2 linked regions of the Daphnia pulex genome follow. The protein of the gene in region 1 purifies or fractionates together with the protein of each later gene. This does not show direct contact. Links are inferred from orthologs where the notes say so. Each region holds a gene or a part of one and is shown in the gene's direction. Other genes may lie near its edges.

What was found. The genes of interacting proteins can lie anywhere in the genome.
Region 2: the proteins of WD repeat-containing protein 61-like (region 1) and splicing factor 3B subunit 1-like purify together in Homo sapiens (co-immunoprecipitation; 3 studies listed by BioGRID and IntAct, with this or other methods). This does not show direct contact. The link is inferred for Daphnia pulex from reciprocal best matches to the Homo sapiens genes SKIC8 and SF3B1.

What each region holds. Positions count from the first base shown.
Region 1 is NC_060021.1:4,226,225-4,234,180, reverse strand, and holds WD repeat-containing protein 61-like, read left to right. Parts: upstream 1-3,148; 5' UTR 3,149-3,260; coding exon 3,261-3,263; intron 3,264-3,332; coding exon 3,333-3,409; intron 3,410-3,486; coding exon 3,487-3,638; intron 3,639-3,761; coding exon 3,762-3,997; intron 3,998-4,066; coding exon 4,067-4,160; intron 4,161-4,222; coding exon 4,223-4,316; intron 4,317-4,391; coding exon 4,392-4,563; intron 4,564-4,637; coding exon 4,638-4,727; 3' UTR 4,728-4,777; downstream 4,778-7,956. Other genes in the region: ras-related protein Rab-27A-like, read right to left, coding at 4,953-4,991, 5,057-5,204, 5,489-5,601, 5,735-5,849, 5,919-5,938, 6,001-6,149, 6,204-6,227, 6,287-6,353. UniProt on the Homo sapiens protein: Component of the PAF1 complex (PAF1C) which has multiple functions during transcription by RNA polymerase II and is implicated in regulation of development and maintenance of embryonic stem cell pluripotency.
Region 2 is NC_060027.1:4,645,460-4,653,148, reverse strand, and holds the end of splicing factor 3B subunit 1-like, read left to right. Parts: intron 1-85; coding exon 86-165; intron 166-232; coding exon 233-904; intron 905-968; coding exon 969-1,262; intron 1,263-1,325; coding exon 1,326-1,454; intron 1,455-1,518; coding exon 1,519-1,899; intron 1,900-1,958; coding exon 1,959-2,255; intron 2,256-2,319; coding exon 2,320-2,649; intron 2,650-2,718; coding exon 2,719-2,982; intron 2,983-3,044; coding exon 3,045-3,281; intron 3,282-3,342; coding exon 3,343-3,532; intron 3,533-3,599; coding exon 3,600-3,873; intron 3,874-3,937; coding exon 3,938-4,154; intron 4,155-4,215; coding exon 4,216-4,374; 3' UTR 4,375-4,448; downstream 4,449-7,689. Other genes in the region: coenzyme Q-binding protein COQ10 homolog B, mitochondrial-like, read right to left, coding at 4,528-4,990, 5,043-5,231, 5,295-5,395; cytidine deaminase-like, read left to right, coding at 6,997-7,039, 7,112-7,389. UniProt on the Homo sapiens protein: Component of the 17S U2 SnRNP complex of the spliceosome, a large ribonucleoprotein complex that removes introns from transcribed pre-mRNAs.

The sequences.
Region 1 (7,956 bases):
GTGCATCCAAGCGGCAGAGATAATACGCGCTTTTCTCGTCGCAACATTAGACAAAAGAATGAGGGAAAAAATGGAGGCAGTCTTAAAAGATCCAGCAATCATGCGGCACATTTAATGCTGGGACGATTGCAGTTTCACACACGCTTTGAAATTCACCTCGGAAATTCAGATTGAGCACCCCTAGGAAAAAATTGGTTTTGACCACGGAAGATTAAGCAAACCGCATGCGATTGCAGTCGAACCGCAAAGCTTTACGGATACATAACGTAGCTGGTTTGGTTATTGCAGTTTTCACTTATTATTGTTTATTCCATTTCAGATTTTGGTCTAATATGAGACCTAGAAAGCAGACTTCAAGTAACGGAAGAATTTTTTGTTAACGGAGACAAAGAGGAAGTCATTGCTGATGATCAGGCTCTTCTCACAAGAGAAAATCGTAAATAAGGTTTTGCGAGCATTAAGGTGTAACTTTCTGGTTGCCTGGCAAGGTATGCAGCCGTCCTTCTCCCGGTAGTAAAACCTTACCTATTGGTATTTAATTCTTAATGCATGCTCGCTTCTTTGTTTCTTTCCTGACTTTTGGAAATGCTCAAAGGTTTCAGTCTTAAGCGAACCCATAAAACTGGATAGCTCAATTTTAAATAGCTTCAGATCGATTATTTTAGTATCCAACATTTTCAATCTCCTCTAGAAGATAGTTGTTGGATGTCTCTGATGGCTAGCCAAAACTAAATTGATTCAGCTCATGTCAACACGATTTAAGGGAAAACAGATCAACCAAAAAATCCAGCAACCTATTCTCTTGTCTCTCTCATTGAATGCACATTCCTGGACTCAAAATTTTGTGCCTCTGCAATCCTAGACTTCAATAACTTTTTGATTTGGCTAGGCACCACGCAATTGCTGCAGCCCTTGTGAAACGCACCTGTCTGCCTTACTTACTGAATCTTGGCTAGCTTCCGGAACACTCAGAATTGCAATTCCTAGCCTCCCGTGCAAACTGTAACCTCTTTAAAGATAAATAATTTGAATAGGCCAAAAATCTGACTTTAAACAAAATAAATTTACAATTATAAATAGTAAAAAGGCATAGGGAAATTTCTATAACCTAAAGTTTCCGCACAGCAGAGAGCGGCTTAGAAATACCGAGATTTTAAATGTTAGAGGCAGGGTTAGAAAAATAACAGCTGTTATCACTAAGACCATCTTTTAAATATCGATTTAAATGTCGATCCGATTTTGGAAAATTGCCATCTATGGGAGGGGGTAACAAAGGTGAAACATCTTGGAAATGAAAAATTGCCATTTTCTAGTGATTTCTCATATGACATGTATGTATGTATCAATTTATATAGCGCACTACGCATGATTTCTAATCCGATCTAATGACGCTGTTTCGTTTCCAATTTGTAAGATGTGATTAAACACATCACCGTATGTTTAACGTCCTTGAAAGCAATTAAGGATCCTGTGTTATGCGTGCTGCCTTTTTCCACGGCGCGACTGCTACAGTTTAAGACGGGTTCAGCTGGGGTTCGAAACCAGAGCCTCATTGCCTTTTTTCCAAAGCGTTGACGCTCTTATCCACTACACCCCACATCCCCACCCCTCATGCGCTGGTCAAAATTATGCATGAGGTTATAGAACCAACGATGTTCTTTGTTTAAGCCCTAATGAATCCTCCTTTAGCCCTATTTTCCGTCCCGTAAAAGAAAGCCAAAGTAGTTCGATTTGCTACCGGCCCTCTTGACTGTGCGGAAACTTTTCATTCCATTTTAAAAGGGCCCTTCCCGTAAACAAAAACAAAAAAAAATGTATGTTATAAAACTTAGAGCTAAGAACCCCCAGTCCAAACATCGTTTTTGTCGGACGAAAACATGATTTTTTGCGATGAAATAAAACTTTAATGTTTTCCCATAAGCTTCTCTCAGCCACTCTCAGCTGTGCGGAAACTTTAGGTAGTTACTGTATGATTGTTAATTTATTTTTGAAACAACTCTAAATAGCCGGGAGAAAAATTTGCCCAAGCCTTTTCAAAATCGGCCGCTAGATGACGTGACGGGGAAATGGGATGATGTCGAAAATCGTTAGGAAATGACGTAAATTTTTCCAATCATTAATTTCTCTGCTAATAAAGTTCAAATCGGAAAACGGGGTGAGAGTTCTGTAAAGTAGTGTTTCACCGTTGTGCTTTTTTGGATTCGTTATCGTTATCGTTAATCGTTATTTTTCAATTTTTCATTCGTTTCGTTCTTCGTTTCGTTAATTTAAACGTGTCGCATTTTTCTCTTTTTGCGACCGTTATCGTTTACCTTAAAATTTTTTTTAGAACCTAGTTTTCTAAGGCCTGTTAGGCCAAATGATGTAGCGAAAATAATGACCTAATTCCTCGCTAGGGGATCGCTAAGTCGGTCATCCCAAAATTGAAAATTTCAAATTTTGAGGGGAAAAAAAGTTCCCCCTGGTGGTAAAAAAATTTGAAATCTCTACGGTTTTGATACGAAAAATTTAGCAAGAAATTAACGAAAACAACGAAAAAAACAGCCATTTCGTTATCGTTAACGAAAAAAACGAGCATTTTCCAAAAAAGTCGATAACGAGGCTCGTTAATACGTTATTTTCGTTGTCGTTATTTAAACGAGTGAAACACTACTGTAAAGGGGGTAAAATCTTTTATTCTGAAAAAATAGGTTTTTTTTAACGGTCTGGTTCTGGTTTGCCCGATAACTGATGCAAAAAAAAACGAAAAACCTCTACAATTTCTGATGGGCCACTTAGATTTTCTTAAAAATCTAAAAAAAACTATGGCAGCTATAAAATCGCGGATTGCACCATTCGGTTTTCCGTAAAATTCTGAATAAAATAGGTTATTCGGGGACTGGCTGCGATGCCTAGCGCCTAGCCACCGTTTCCCAAACAATTAAATCCCTTAAAACCCCCGAATTTTGTCCTCTCTGAGTGGTGGACTCACAACGTAACGACGTTAAAAAATTTGTAGTTTATAATATGCCTCTTCTAAATAAGGATCCTACATTAATATTTTATCCGGTTGAAAAAAGAGCAAATTTAACAACCAAAGTGAACCAGGATAAAAGTAAGAAGAAAAGTAAGTAAGAAGTGAAGTATTCTCATTAGATGGCTCTGTTAACGTGACATTGTTTTGCGTACATTTTCTGGCCTGTAAAGATATATAACTCTTATTTTATCTCAAAATTTAACTTGTGTTTGTTTCTGTTCACGACTCAATTCCTTCATTAAAAATGGTTCGATGGTTAAATAGTTACTTAGTAGCAGTTTTGTTCACAATGATTTAAATGTTATTCCCCTTTCAGTATACATTGGCTCATAAGAAAGAAGCTGCACATGACGAGGGAATTTGGAGTTGTTCTTGGACTAGCAAAGCTGAAGTGTAAGCAGCAGTCACACTTAAATAATATTACATGAATTTTTCAATTATTTACTATTATCATCTGATTCAATCTCTAGAGGCCCGGAAGAGTCAGATTATGTTGTGACAGGAGGAATTGATGATGCTGTAAAAGTATGGGCTTGGAGAAATGATCAGCTAGAGCTTCGCCACCGATTGGAGGGTCATGCTCTTGGAGTAGTCTCTGTGGACACAAGCTTTGATGGAAAATGTGAGTATTTATCATTTTTTTATGTTTTATTTGATCAAAGTTTATCTTTACTTCTGTGACATTGAAAGTACTGAATTGTTCTCTGTGGTTCACTGGCTGATTTCAAAACTTTTCTATTTGCAGTAATAGCTACAAGTTCTTTAGATTCATTTGTTCGCATTTGGGAACTTCAAAGTGGTGAAAAAAAGCAAACCATAGAAGCAGGGCCTGTTGATGTGTGGAGTGTTATGTTCACACCTGATTCAAAGTATATAATATCTGGAAGTCATGCTGGAAAGATCAACTGGTATAATGTAGACACTGGTAAACCTCATCAGTCCTATGACACTCGAGGCAAATTTACTTTGAGCATTGCATGTGTAAGTGAGATCATCCAAGTTTATCTATGAACATTTTATCAAAACTTGAACTTTTTATTTGTATTCCAGAGTCCTGATATGAAGTTTGTTGCCAGTGGAGCAATGGATGGCATAATTAATGTATTTGACATTGCAACAGGAAAATTAGTACACACATTGGAAGGTTCATTTTAACCTTATACAAATTTTAAGTTAACAAGTAATCAATCATTTTACATCTATAAGGTCATGCCTTACCAGTGAGATCACTATGTTTCTCTCAAAATTCCCAGTTGTTATTAACAGCTTCAGATGATGGACAAATCAAAATTTATGATGTGTAAAAAAAAATATTCCCTGTTTTATTTGATTAGATTGGTGAGGTTTTGTAATATAATAATTTGGTCTCCTTTAGTCAACATGCTCAGTTAGCGGGAACGGTTTCCGGTCACGGTTCGTGGGTGCTCAGTGTTTCAGTTTCACCTGACAACTCACGTTTCGTATCTGGAAGTTCTGATCGAACAGTCAAAATATGGGATATGAAGGCGAAGCAATGCCTTCACACATTTACGGATCATACCGACCAGGTAGTTATGCAATAATAAAAAAAAAAAAAAAAAAATGTAAACTAAGACAATTTGTTTCCCCCCCCCCCCGCTAGGTATGGAGTGTTTGCTTCAATGGAGATGGGGAACACATTGCATCAGTTTCAGATGACAGATCCATCAACATATACAGTTGTCCATTGTAAAGCAATTAAATCTTAAAGTTTTCTTGGAATAAAACTTAAAAGTATATTTACATTTGTGGGAAGTTTTATTATTTTTCATTGGACTAGAATGAACACAGCAAATAATATTAAAATTGACGTGAGAAAAGTAACTGTTACAAAATTGTCAACAATAAAGCTTTATCACACTGAATTCTACAAATAGCACAATGAACATTTAATTCAACAAAAATGACGGAAAAATATTCAACATGCGCATCCCTGACTACCATCCGGAGAGTTCTGCTAAAAAAATGTAAGCAATTATATTTTAATTGAATGATGGATATATTCAAGCAGTTAGGATATACCTTCAACTGTATGGTTTTCCCTTTTTGGCCAGTACCAAATGTATCTTCAACAGCTTGATCCATTCTAAGCATAACCTTTTCCAGAAGAAGTTCTACAGCAATGTTAACATTTTGACCAGTTGCAGCAGATGTTTCAAGATAGGATAACCTGTTTAATCAAAGTATCAATTAGCAGTATGGATTTATAACATTCTAATATAAATTTGAAAAATATGCTTCATTCACAGTAACTGCAAGTAATACAAATTTGTATGAGATCAATACTTAAAGGAACAAACTAAGGAACATTTTATAATCCTTTTTCAACTCAGTATTTTAAAATGACCAAGCTAATGTTGTTAATAAACTTTTTCTAACTGATTGGAAGATTGGCTTTTTTTTTTTTAATTTTTTTCTAGCTGTTTAAAATATGACCAGACGTGAGTTACTAACCCGTATCGAGATGCCGTCTCTTTAGCATCTTCTTCAGAAACTTCTCTTTGATCATCAAGATCAGCTTTGTTTCCACAAAGAACTATATCAGGATTGTCTGTATAAGCATGAGTCTTCAAAATAATATAAGTCATTAAATATCCACAATAAAACCAGTTCATCAGAAAAATTACCATTTGTAATATATACAAGTTTTTTCTGATGACATGTGGTTATCCAGCAAATGTATTTTCTAAATGTAATTACCTTTAATTGCTCTAACCAGCTTCGTATAGATAGAAAGGACTGTTCATTAGTTAAATCAAACAGCAATAAAAATCCCATTGAGTCTCTAAAAAATGCAGTGGTAAGACTTCGAAATCTAATTACCAAACCAAACAAATATGAATAAGTTATTTGAAACTAGATAAGAATATAAAACTGAATGTACCTCTCTTGGCCTGCAGTATCCTATGGTGAGTACAGAAAATTAATCTATATATTTCACAGAAATTATTTTATTGTGGTATTACCCATAACTGTAAATGAATTCTTTGGCTTCTGCCTTGCATTCCCTCTGAGTTTTTTGCACGGTATACAACACGTTTTTCCCGAAAATCTATTCCAACAGTTGTTGTAAACTTTGAATTGAACACACCATCTGTATACTGATACAGAAAACCTGGCCAAAGGAAAACTTAGAAATTTTGAATATTTAACAAAGCCAATGATTTACTTGTTTTCCCAACTCCAGCATTTCCTAGATAAAAAGTTTGTTAACATTGCTATTTACTTGATAATTTGTTAAAGGGTTCATACCTAAAGCTAAAAATTTAAACAAATAATCGTAGTCCAAACGATTTGAGGAAAGCGATTTTTTTGCCATTATAAAAATGTGGAAATGCCCTTAAGTACTGAGATAACAACACTGTAGAGTTGAAAAAATTGTGCTTAAACTAAATCAAAATTCATAACAACAGGTGGTACGATACAACGTTCTTTCCCTCTCCGGCTCCAGCAGTCCAGCTTACCCCGCCCGGCCGCCCCGCCCCCACATAGTGCAGCCTATGCCTATGGTATATGCATGGTATATGATAAGGACACTTCGACAATTTCTATGCCGGCTGTCATTCTTGTTAATGATTATTTATTTATTGATTCATTGGGCTAAAACAAGGCTTTGTAAAAGCTGTTAAATTTTTTAAGTTTTAGTTTATTTCAGATTATTTTTCATGTCAGTTGCAAAGGTCCTTGATTTTCTCCACCTAGCGCTAAATACTTTAACCTCTTGCACGTAGTTTTTTTTTAATATCTTTTTCAATTTTCTGGAAGTTCTATTAATTTAAATTCCTTTGCGGTCTTTTCTATCCACAAACCACCCATGACTAGTAGCCTACTATTCTTGCAACAGATTGAACACAACAACAGTCATCACCAGTGATCGTGAACGTATCCCTTTCCTGTGGAACAAGAAAATGAATCTCAAGTGATGCTGGAGAACGGATTCGATTCCGTTCACTGACGCACGCTGACGCATAACGTCAATAGCATATGCAGAGCATGTGCTATTCCTTATTCCTTATATATTCAACACTAGTATATCTCCATGTAAATCAGAGTTTTTTCAGTTCAGCGATAGTTTTGTAATCAACCACATTTTCTCCGATAACAAAAACCAGGTTTCCGTTTACCTTAACAATGGTTTTCACTAATTTTATTCCGTTGTTCGTTTGCATTGTTACTTCCTGGTTATTTCAACCAATTGCTCTCTCATTTGCCACATCGCTATGTTAATGATCACTTTGATTTTGCAGAAAAAATGTAGGCTATACTTGGATAAGAAAAATTTGCGTTAAATTCACATATAGTTTGTCAAAAATTATACCGCCGTGACAGTAGTACGAAAACTTGTGGGAAATAGACTCTTCAACTATTCAAGCAACTTTGAAGTCTCTGTCATCATTTTCGTTACCAATGAAATATCCATAGTCTTTGGGACAACGAATTTAACTGCTATGAAAAAACAAAGCTCCAGAATAAAAGGAGGTTATATTACAGACTGAATTCCGTTGCGGATTGTTAAGCAAGGGTGTGAAAACGTTGCGAATCTGTATAAATTTTAGACAACAATATCTGTATTCATTCAATTATGGAACAAGTTGAAGATGGATAATTTAAAATGTTGTGGAATCAGTCAGTCCATTAGTCTTTCCACATTAATTATATTCCAGCATATATCTTAAAAAGTTACGATTGCGAGACCTTAGAAAAACCTATCAAAGCACAGGTATTGCAGAAGGTGAAATATGTGGAATGGAAACAAAAAAGCAGTAGAAGTCCAGTCCAACTAAACCTCTGTTATGTCATACTGTCGTTGCTGATCATCTCGAAGCACGCACCCTTGCAATCGAAAAGAGATGGAATGTGTCATGTGGTTCAACAAAAGACGGCACATTAGAAAACATGGAAGTTGTAAAGAGGACGGCATC
Region 2 (7,689 bases), on another chromosome or scaffold:
ATTTTTTCTTTAAATTTCGATTACAAAATCTTCCTTACTTTGAATAATAACCCATTTTCCTTTTTTATATTGCTATTCTGTGCAGGCGGTAAAACCCCAGACGTTGGATCTCGCACTTACGCTCATATTATTCGTGAACAACAGTTGCGCGCAGAAGAGCAAGAGGTAATGACAATGGATAATTTATGGTGTAGTTGAGATTATACATGTAATCATTTGTATTCATTTCTAGGTCCGCCGGAAGCTTGCCGACAAAGCTAAGGATGGTACCTTAAAAGCTGTAACGGTACCATCAAACGGCGAATCAAATGAAGCGCCACGGAAACGTGCAGCCCGTTGGGATCAAACAGGTGAAGGTGACACAGGTCCTGCTGCCACTCCAGTTGCAGCACCAACTGTTCCTACGGTAAAGAAGAAAACCTGGGAAGTGGAAACGCCAGCAGTAGCTCGTTGGGATGAAACTCCTTCTCGCTCCAAAGGCTCTGAAACCCCGGCAGCTGGAGGTGTTACCCCTGGAAGTCGTCTGTGGGATGCTACGCCGGGAAATGACGACTCCCGCAAACGGAATCGCTGGGACGAAACACCGAAAACTGAAAGAGCCGGCGAATTTACTCCTGGTTTTGGTTCTGGTTGGGCTGAGACACCACGGACAGATCGTGGAGGAGACACAATCCAGGAGACACCAACTCCTTCGGCATCGAAACGTCGCAGCCGTTGGGATGAAACACCAGCTAATTCCAGTGCGACACCGTCTGGTGGAATGACTCCGCAAACTCCTTCACTATCTGGAGCTATGACTCCAAGAATGACACCGGGTGGAGCTACTCCAATCGGACAAAAAGCTATGGCCATGGCTACCCCAACTCCAGGACACCTTGTTACCATGACTCCTGAACAACTACAAGTAATCAGTGCATTATCCGTTTTGATGTTCAATATGTAACCCACAATGAAATTTATCGAAATAGGCATACCGATGGGAAAGAGAAATCGACGAAAGAAACCGCCCAATTGGAGATGATGAACTAGACGGGATGTTTCCAGAAGGCTACAAGGTCCTGCCTCCTCCAGCTGGATACATTCCTCTACGTACCCCGGCGCGCAAATTAACTGCAACTCCCACTCCATTAGCTGGGGCCAATTCGGGATTCTACATGCAACAAGAAGATAAAACTGCCTCAAAATACATGGACACACAACCCAAAGGCGGTAACTTGCCCTTTTTGAAGCCAGAAGATGCCCAATATTTTGACAAGCTATTGGTAATTATACTTAACTATTTCTTTTAAGTAAAATTAAAAAGTTTTTACTCTATTATTTTGCAGATTGATGTTGATGAAGATTCATTGAGCCCAGAAGAGCTTAAAGAACGAAAAATCATGACTCTTTTACTTAAAATCAAGAACGGTACCCCACCTATGCGTAAATCTGCATTAAGACAAATCACTGATAAGGTAAACTGATATATATTATTTTAAAGTAATTGTATCTTCAAACTGCGTTTATGTTTTTCAATAGGCTAGAGAATTCGGAGCTGGTCCACTTTTCAATCAGATCCTTCCTTTATTGATGTCTCCTACCCTTGAAGACCAAGAGCGACATTTGCTCGTTAAAGTTATCGATCGCATTCTCTACAAATTGGATGATCTAGTGCGTCCATACGTCCACAAAATCCTTGTCGTTATTGAACCGCTGCTAATCGACGAAGACTATTATGCTCGTGTTGAAGGTCGAGAAATCATCTCTAATTTAGCCAAAGCAGCTGGTTTAGCAACTATGATTTCTACCATGAGACCTGATATCGATAACATTGATGAATATGTTCGTAACACTACTGCAAGAGCTTTTGCTGTGGTAGCTTCTGCACTGGGAATTCCTTCCCTTCTTCCCTTTCTAAAGGTATATAGTTTGTTTCAGTTTTAAGATGGGCTTGTTCTTATCTATTATTTTTATTTTAGGCCGTTTGCAAGAGTAAAAAGTCATGGCAAGCTCGCCATACTGGCATCAAAATCGTCCAACAAATTGCTATTCTTATGGGATGTGCTATTTTACCTCACTTGCGAAATCTGGTTGAGATCATTGAACATGGATTGGTAGATGAGCAACAGAAAGTGCGCACCATCACTGCCTTGTCCATTGCTGCGCTGGCAGAAGCCGCGACTCCGTACGGTATTGAGAGCTTTGACTCTGTTTTAAAACCGTTGTGGAAGGGTATAAGAACTCATCGTGGTAAGGGATTGGCTGCTTTCCTTAAGGTATGTTAATTGAAAGTAAAATATTATCCTGCATACTGTAATATTATTTGTTTAAAAAAAATAGGCTATTGGCTATTTGATTCCTCTCATGGATGCCGAATACGCCAATTATTACACTCGCGAAGTGATGTTAATTTTAATTCGCGAGTTTCAGTCACCTGACGAAGAAATGAAAAAGATTGTACTTAAAGTGGTGAAACAGTGTTGCGCAACTGACGGTGTGGAACCTCAGTATATTAAAACAGAAATTTTGCCACATTTCTTCAAAAGTTTCTGGAATCATAGAATGGCATTAGATAGACGTAACTATCGCCAGCTAGTTGACACAACAGTTGAAATCGCTAATCGTGTTGGTGCAGCGGAAATTATTGGCCGAGTGGTTGACGATTTAAAGGTTTTATTCATTTTCATTATTTATAATTCAGTGACAGTCAAATAACATGTTGAATATTTTTCCTAACAGGACGAAAATGAACAATACCGGAAAATGGTTATGGAAACGGTCGAAAAGATCATGGGTAATCTTGGTGCCGCTGATATCGACGCTCGCTTGGAAGAGCAGCTCATCGACGGTATTCTCTACGCATTTCAGGAACAAACGACTGAAGATGTTGTGATGCTAAATGGATTCGGTACAATCGTGAACTCACTTTCCAAACGAGTTAAACCTTATTTGCCACAAATTTGTGGTACTATTTTATGGCGTTTGAACAACAAATCAGCAAAAGTAATGTTATACAACTTTTATTTGTAAACGTTCGTTTTAATATAATGATTTTTATTCCATAGGTTCGGCAACAAGCTGCTGATTTGATTAGCCGTATTGCAGCAGTAATGAAAACTTGTCAGGAAGAAAAGCTCATGGGGCATCTGGGAGTTGTTCTCTATGAATATCTTGGCGAAGAGTACCCTGAAGTTCTTGGGTCTATTTTAGCTGCTCTTAAAGCTATTGTTAACGTAATTGGCATGCACAAGATGACACCGCCAATCAAAGATTTACTTCCCCGATTAACACCTATTTTGAAGGTTCGCTTTTTTAACATATCAGTAATTTATTTTTCTTATTGTGGTTTTATTATCATTTTAGAATCGGCATGAAAAAGTACAGGAAAATTGCATCGATTTGGTTGGGCGTATTGCCGATCGTGGGCCAGAGTACGTTTCAGCTCGAGAGTGGATGCGCATTTGTTTTGAGCTTTTAGAACTCTTGAAAGCACACAAGAAAGCCATTCGACGAGCTACAGTCAACACTTTTGGTTATATCGCCAAAGCAATTGGTGAGACCGAAATTGTCATGGTTATTATGTACAATATAATTATTTATTTTTCAACAACAAATTTCAGGCCCACACGATGTATTGGCTACACTGCTTAATAATTTGAAGGTACAGGAGCGCCAAAATCGTGTTTGTACAACCGTTGCCATTGCAATTGTGGCTGAAACTTGTTCGCCCTTCACCGTCCTCCCTGGTCTTATGAACGAATATAGAGTCCCGGAACTTAATGTTCAAAATGGTGTTTTGAAGTCGATGTCATTCTTGTTCGAGTACATTGGCGAGATGGGGAAGGATTACATTTATTCAGTTACATCGCTCTTAGAAGACGCTTTGATGGATCGGTAAGTTTCTAGTTATTTTGAATTTATGATTAATTAGTTAATGAAGCACATCTGTTTATTTTAGTGACCTGGTCCATCGTCAAACTGCTTGTGCAGCCATCAAGCACATGGCTTTGGGTGTTTTCGGCTTTGGTTGTGAAGATGCCCTCACACACCTGTTGAACTACGTTTGGCCCAATATTTTTGAAACATCCCCTCATTTGGTTCAAGCTTTTATGGATGCTGTGGAGGGTATGAGAGTAGCCCTGGGCCCTATTAAAGTCTTACAATACGCACTGCAGGTAACTTAATTATTTGATTGAATTAGAATTTCAGTTTTAAACCATTTTCTTTTCTATATAGGGTCTGTTTCATCCGGCCCGGAAAGTTCGTGACGTGTATTGGAAGATTTACAACTCACTATACATCGGCGGTCAAGATTCACTGGTGTGTGGGTACCCTCGAGTGTCCAACGAAGGGAAAAACACTTTTAATCGTTATGAACTCGATTATGTATTGTAATTCACTTTCTGTACTACATTTTTACACAAGTTTCATGTACTGATTTCATTAAAAATAAACTCACTTGAGCCGTCGCAATTCGTGTAATGTCATCAAATTTAGATACAATATTATTTAACATTTCAATTTAGCTAGTGATTATTGATTAAGTCATTAGGCGTGTGTAGATAACATCTGTGGCCTTTGACCATTAATTGACGCTGGTCCGTAACGTCTCCTAGCCTCTGTCAAAAATGCAGTAACCATTTGCCTAACAACCTGATCAAAAAAAACATGTGACAGTTGAGAGTGAAGTACAGACCGAAATTCAAAGGAAATGGAAAAATCCAATGTGCAACTTTTAGGATTTCCCTTTAGTCCAGGACTGAATTTCCAAATAGTAAGAAGATGGTTGAATAGCTTCCCTTCTGAACACACAGACTTCACCATGTTTGGTGGGGTAAGCATGACACTGCTTGTATAGCTTTCTACTAACAAAGGAGGAAAGCCAATTGCTAAATCAGCTCTAAGATGACCAGTAGTTCGTGAGGTAACTACAGAGCTTTTGCAATATGGAACAAAATTTTTGTAATTCTCCACCTCGGCCACAACATTGTACATTTGTTCCATTGAATACCTAGAAAGTTCATTTTTAATTTCTATTGCAAAATTAATTTGTTTTATATTACCCCAACAACCTTCTTTCAGAATAGTCTTTTCTTTTGTTTCCAATTCCTAGTCCAGGCAACTGAAAACCACGACTAGGAATAGCTAGGTCAATTGCTCCATAACTTGAGTTACTTGACGAAACTACTCTTGGACAAGCAGAATGGCTTCCAGTATATTGTAATGCACTACATTGAATTACAGTTAACTTCCTGCATAAAAGAGAGGTTACACAATGTAATCCAAACTGTATGAAGAGATTAAAGATTATTTACCTAGATAAGGTAATGAAATTTCTATGCGCATGAAACATCTTGCACCAGCTACGACGAGCGGGTCTTGCAATGGCAATGAAAGGCAGCGTGAAACTTGACATTTCTAGTATTAGAAATGATTGAAATCAATCCGAATTTTTTACTCCATCATACCGAATTGATTGAATAACATAAAAACATATGAATGGTTGCAGACGACTTCGCAAGAGTTATCTTAGTGAAAAGTGATTTCAGGCATTGCCGGTTTTCTCTTTTTTCTTGGCGTTAAAAGCGCCCCCCCCCCCCCCATCCTGAACCATTTATTTGAATTTTTGAGCGTTTTTAATGGTATTTATTTGTGGTATCAGAGATGAAGTGAGCTTTTAGGATTTGACTGCCGAATATTTTTAGGCAACGAGTTTTTAAAAGTGGAAGAGGTTATCAAAAGCGTATCCGGACTCTTTAAATAAAAAACAAATATAAAAAAAGGAAGGAGAATGAGGTTATAGCTAATGTCTGCTGCAGGCAATTTTTTTATCTACTATATCTAGCGGATTCAGTGACCGTTAAGCGGGCATTGACGGCACGCATAAATACGGTTACACTTATAGATCTTCAGAATCTTTCAGCTATCAAGACGTGGCAGTGGCGCACAGCAGTTGGAAAGTACAAACCTTAAGTTTTTGCTAGGTATAAGTGAATTGCTGAAATTGTGTGTTTTGTCTATGTTATTGTACGAATGTGAAGAACTGTCTTGATAAATTCCGTACACATCTCAATCACAATAATAATTTTTTTAAGTCGTGGAAAGAAAAGGTAAAGAACAAATATCTCACATTGGTTCAAATACCTGTGGTTAGTACAGCTTTCTTATAAAGCTTCCTTTTCGATTAAATAATTAGCTATAACACCCCTTCTTATTTTTTTCTTCATGTGAATTGTGATCCATTATTCTACTAAATTTCTTTTTTTTTTCGAAGGCCTTAAAAACTGGGGGAAATATTTGTTTTCGAGAGATGTTTACAAGTTTGGAGACCTAATTCATAGAGCAATCGGGTAAATTGGTCCGAGGGAAGAATAGAGAGATGAAAATATGGGTCCCCCTTTTTCATACGCCAAATTTTCAAGGAAAAACAAAATATAAAATTGTTCAATTGAAAAGGAAGCTCCATAAGAAAGTTGTACATAATCATATGCATACTGTATGCTTTATTCATTTTGAGCCCATTTGAGATTTTGGCCTTTTCCACACTTGGCAGCGCAGCGTCCGTTCGTGGTCTATAGACTATAGCCCAGTAACAGATGCTGAGTGCAGTGCAACTTACAAATTCTATGCTTAAAAAACAAACAAACAAACAAAAAAAAACAGTAGTATTTTGGTCCTAGAGACATTTCCCTGGAAATGTCTCTGGCTCTTACCTGAGCTATATTAGGGCTGTGCGACACCTTTTTAAACTTTGTTTTATTCGCAAAACGCAGTCTGCGGTCTGCCGTGTCGTGGTATTACAGATGCTGTAAGAGTGGGGCAATCGACCAAGTCGGACCAAGCGAGCCGCAATGCTATATATATAAGAGAATATATAAGAGAAAAATGTAACATTTGATATCCCAGAAAAAAAATTAACAATACTGATCAATGCATGATAATAATGAAACATAAATTCTATTTGATATAACATCGAATAAACTGAAAAAAAAAATAATTTGAGGAATATTTACAGAAATGGAAGACAAATATCAGGATGCGGTACAATTTGAACATCTAGGTAACAACATAATTATTGATGCAGTCACTATCACTACGCACCATTATTTCTAACGATAAGTTCATCTTTCAGACGCTTCAGTAAAACAAATTGTGAACAAAGCAAAGGAAGTACGAGAAAAAGCATATTGCCCATACAGCAATTTTTCGGTGGGTGCTGCATTGTTGTGTGGCGATGGAGAAATAATTGATGGTTGCAATGTTGAAAATGTTTCATACGGTTTAACAATCTGTGCAGAAAGATCTGCTATATGTAAAGCTGTTTCACAAGGACAGAAGGTTTTCAAGAGCATAGCAATTTGTGCTGAGATGAAAGAACATTTTGTTAGTCCTTGTGGAGCGTGTCGCCAGGTAAAAATCTCTTTATTTAAATTCATCTTAACATGAAGGTTTTTTTTTTAAATTATAAAAAAGATACTGGTATAGATCAAATTCAAAGTAGCCAAGTTGGGAAGGAACATGTTTTTATTCATAAATCATAACTATTTCTAGCTGTAACCAAAAAGTAGATGAGTTGGTTACTAAAAAAGTTAAATTTTGCTGAAATAGGGCGGATACAATTATTACGTATTATTAAATTTTTTTTCTGTAGCACGAATTCTTCGAGAAATTAGATCTATTTTTCTATTTCTACTTTACCGTACTACATAA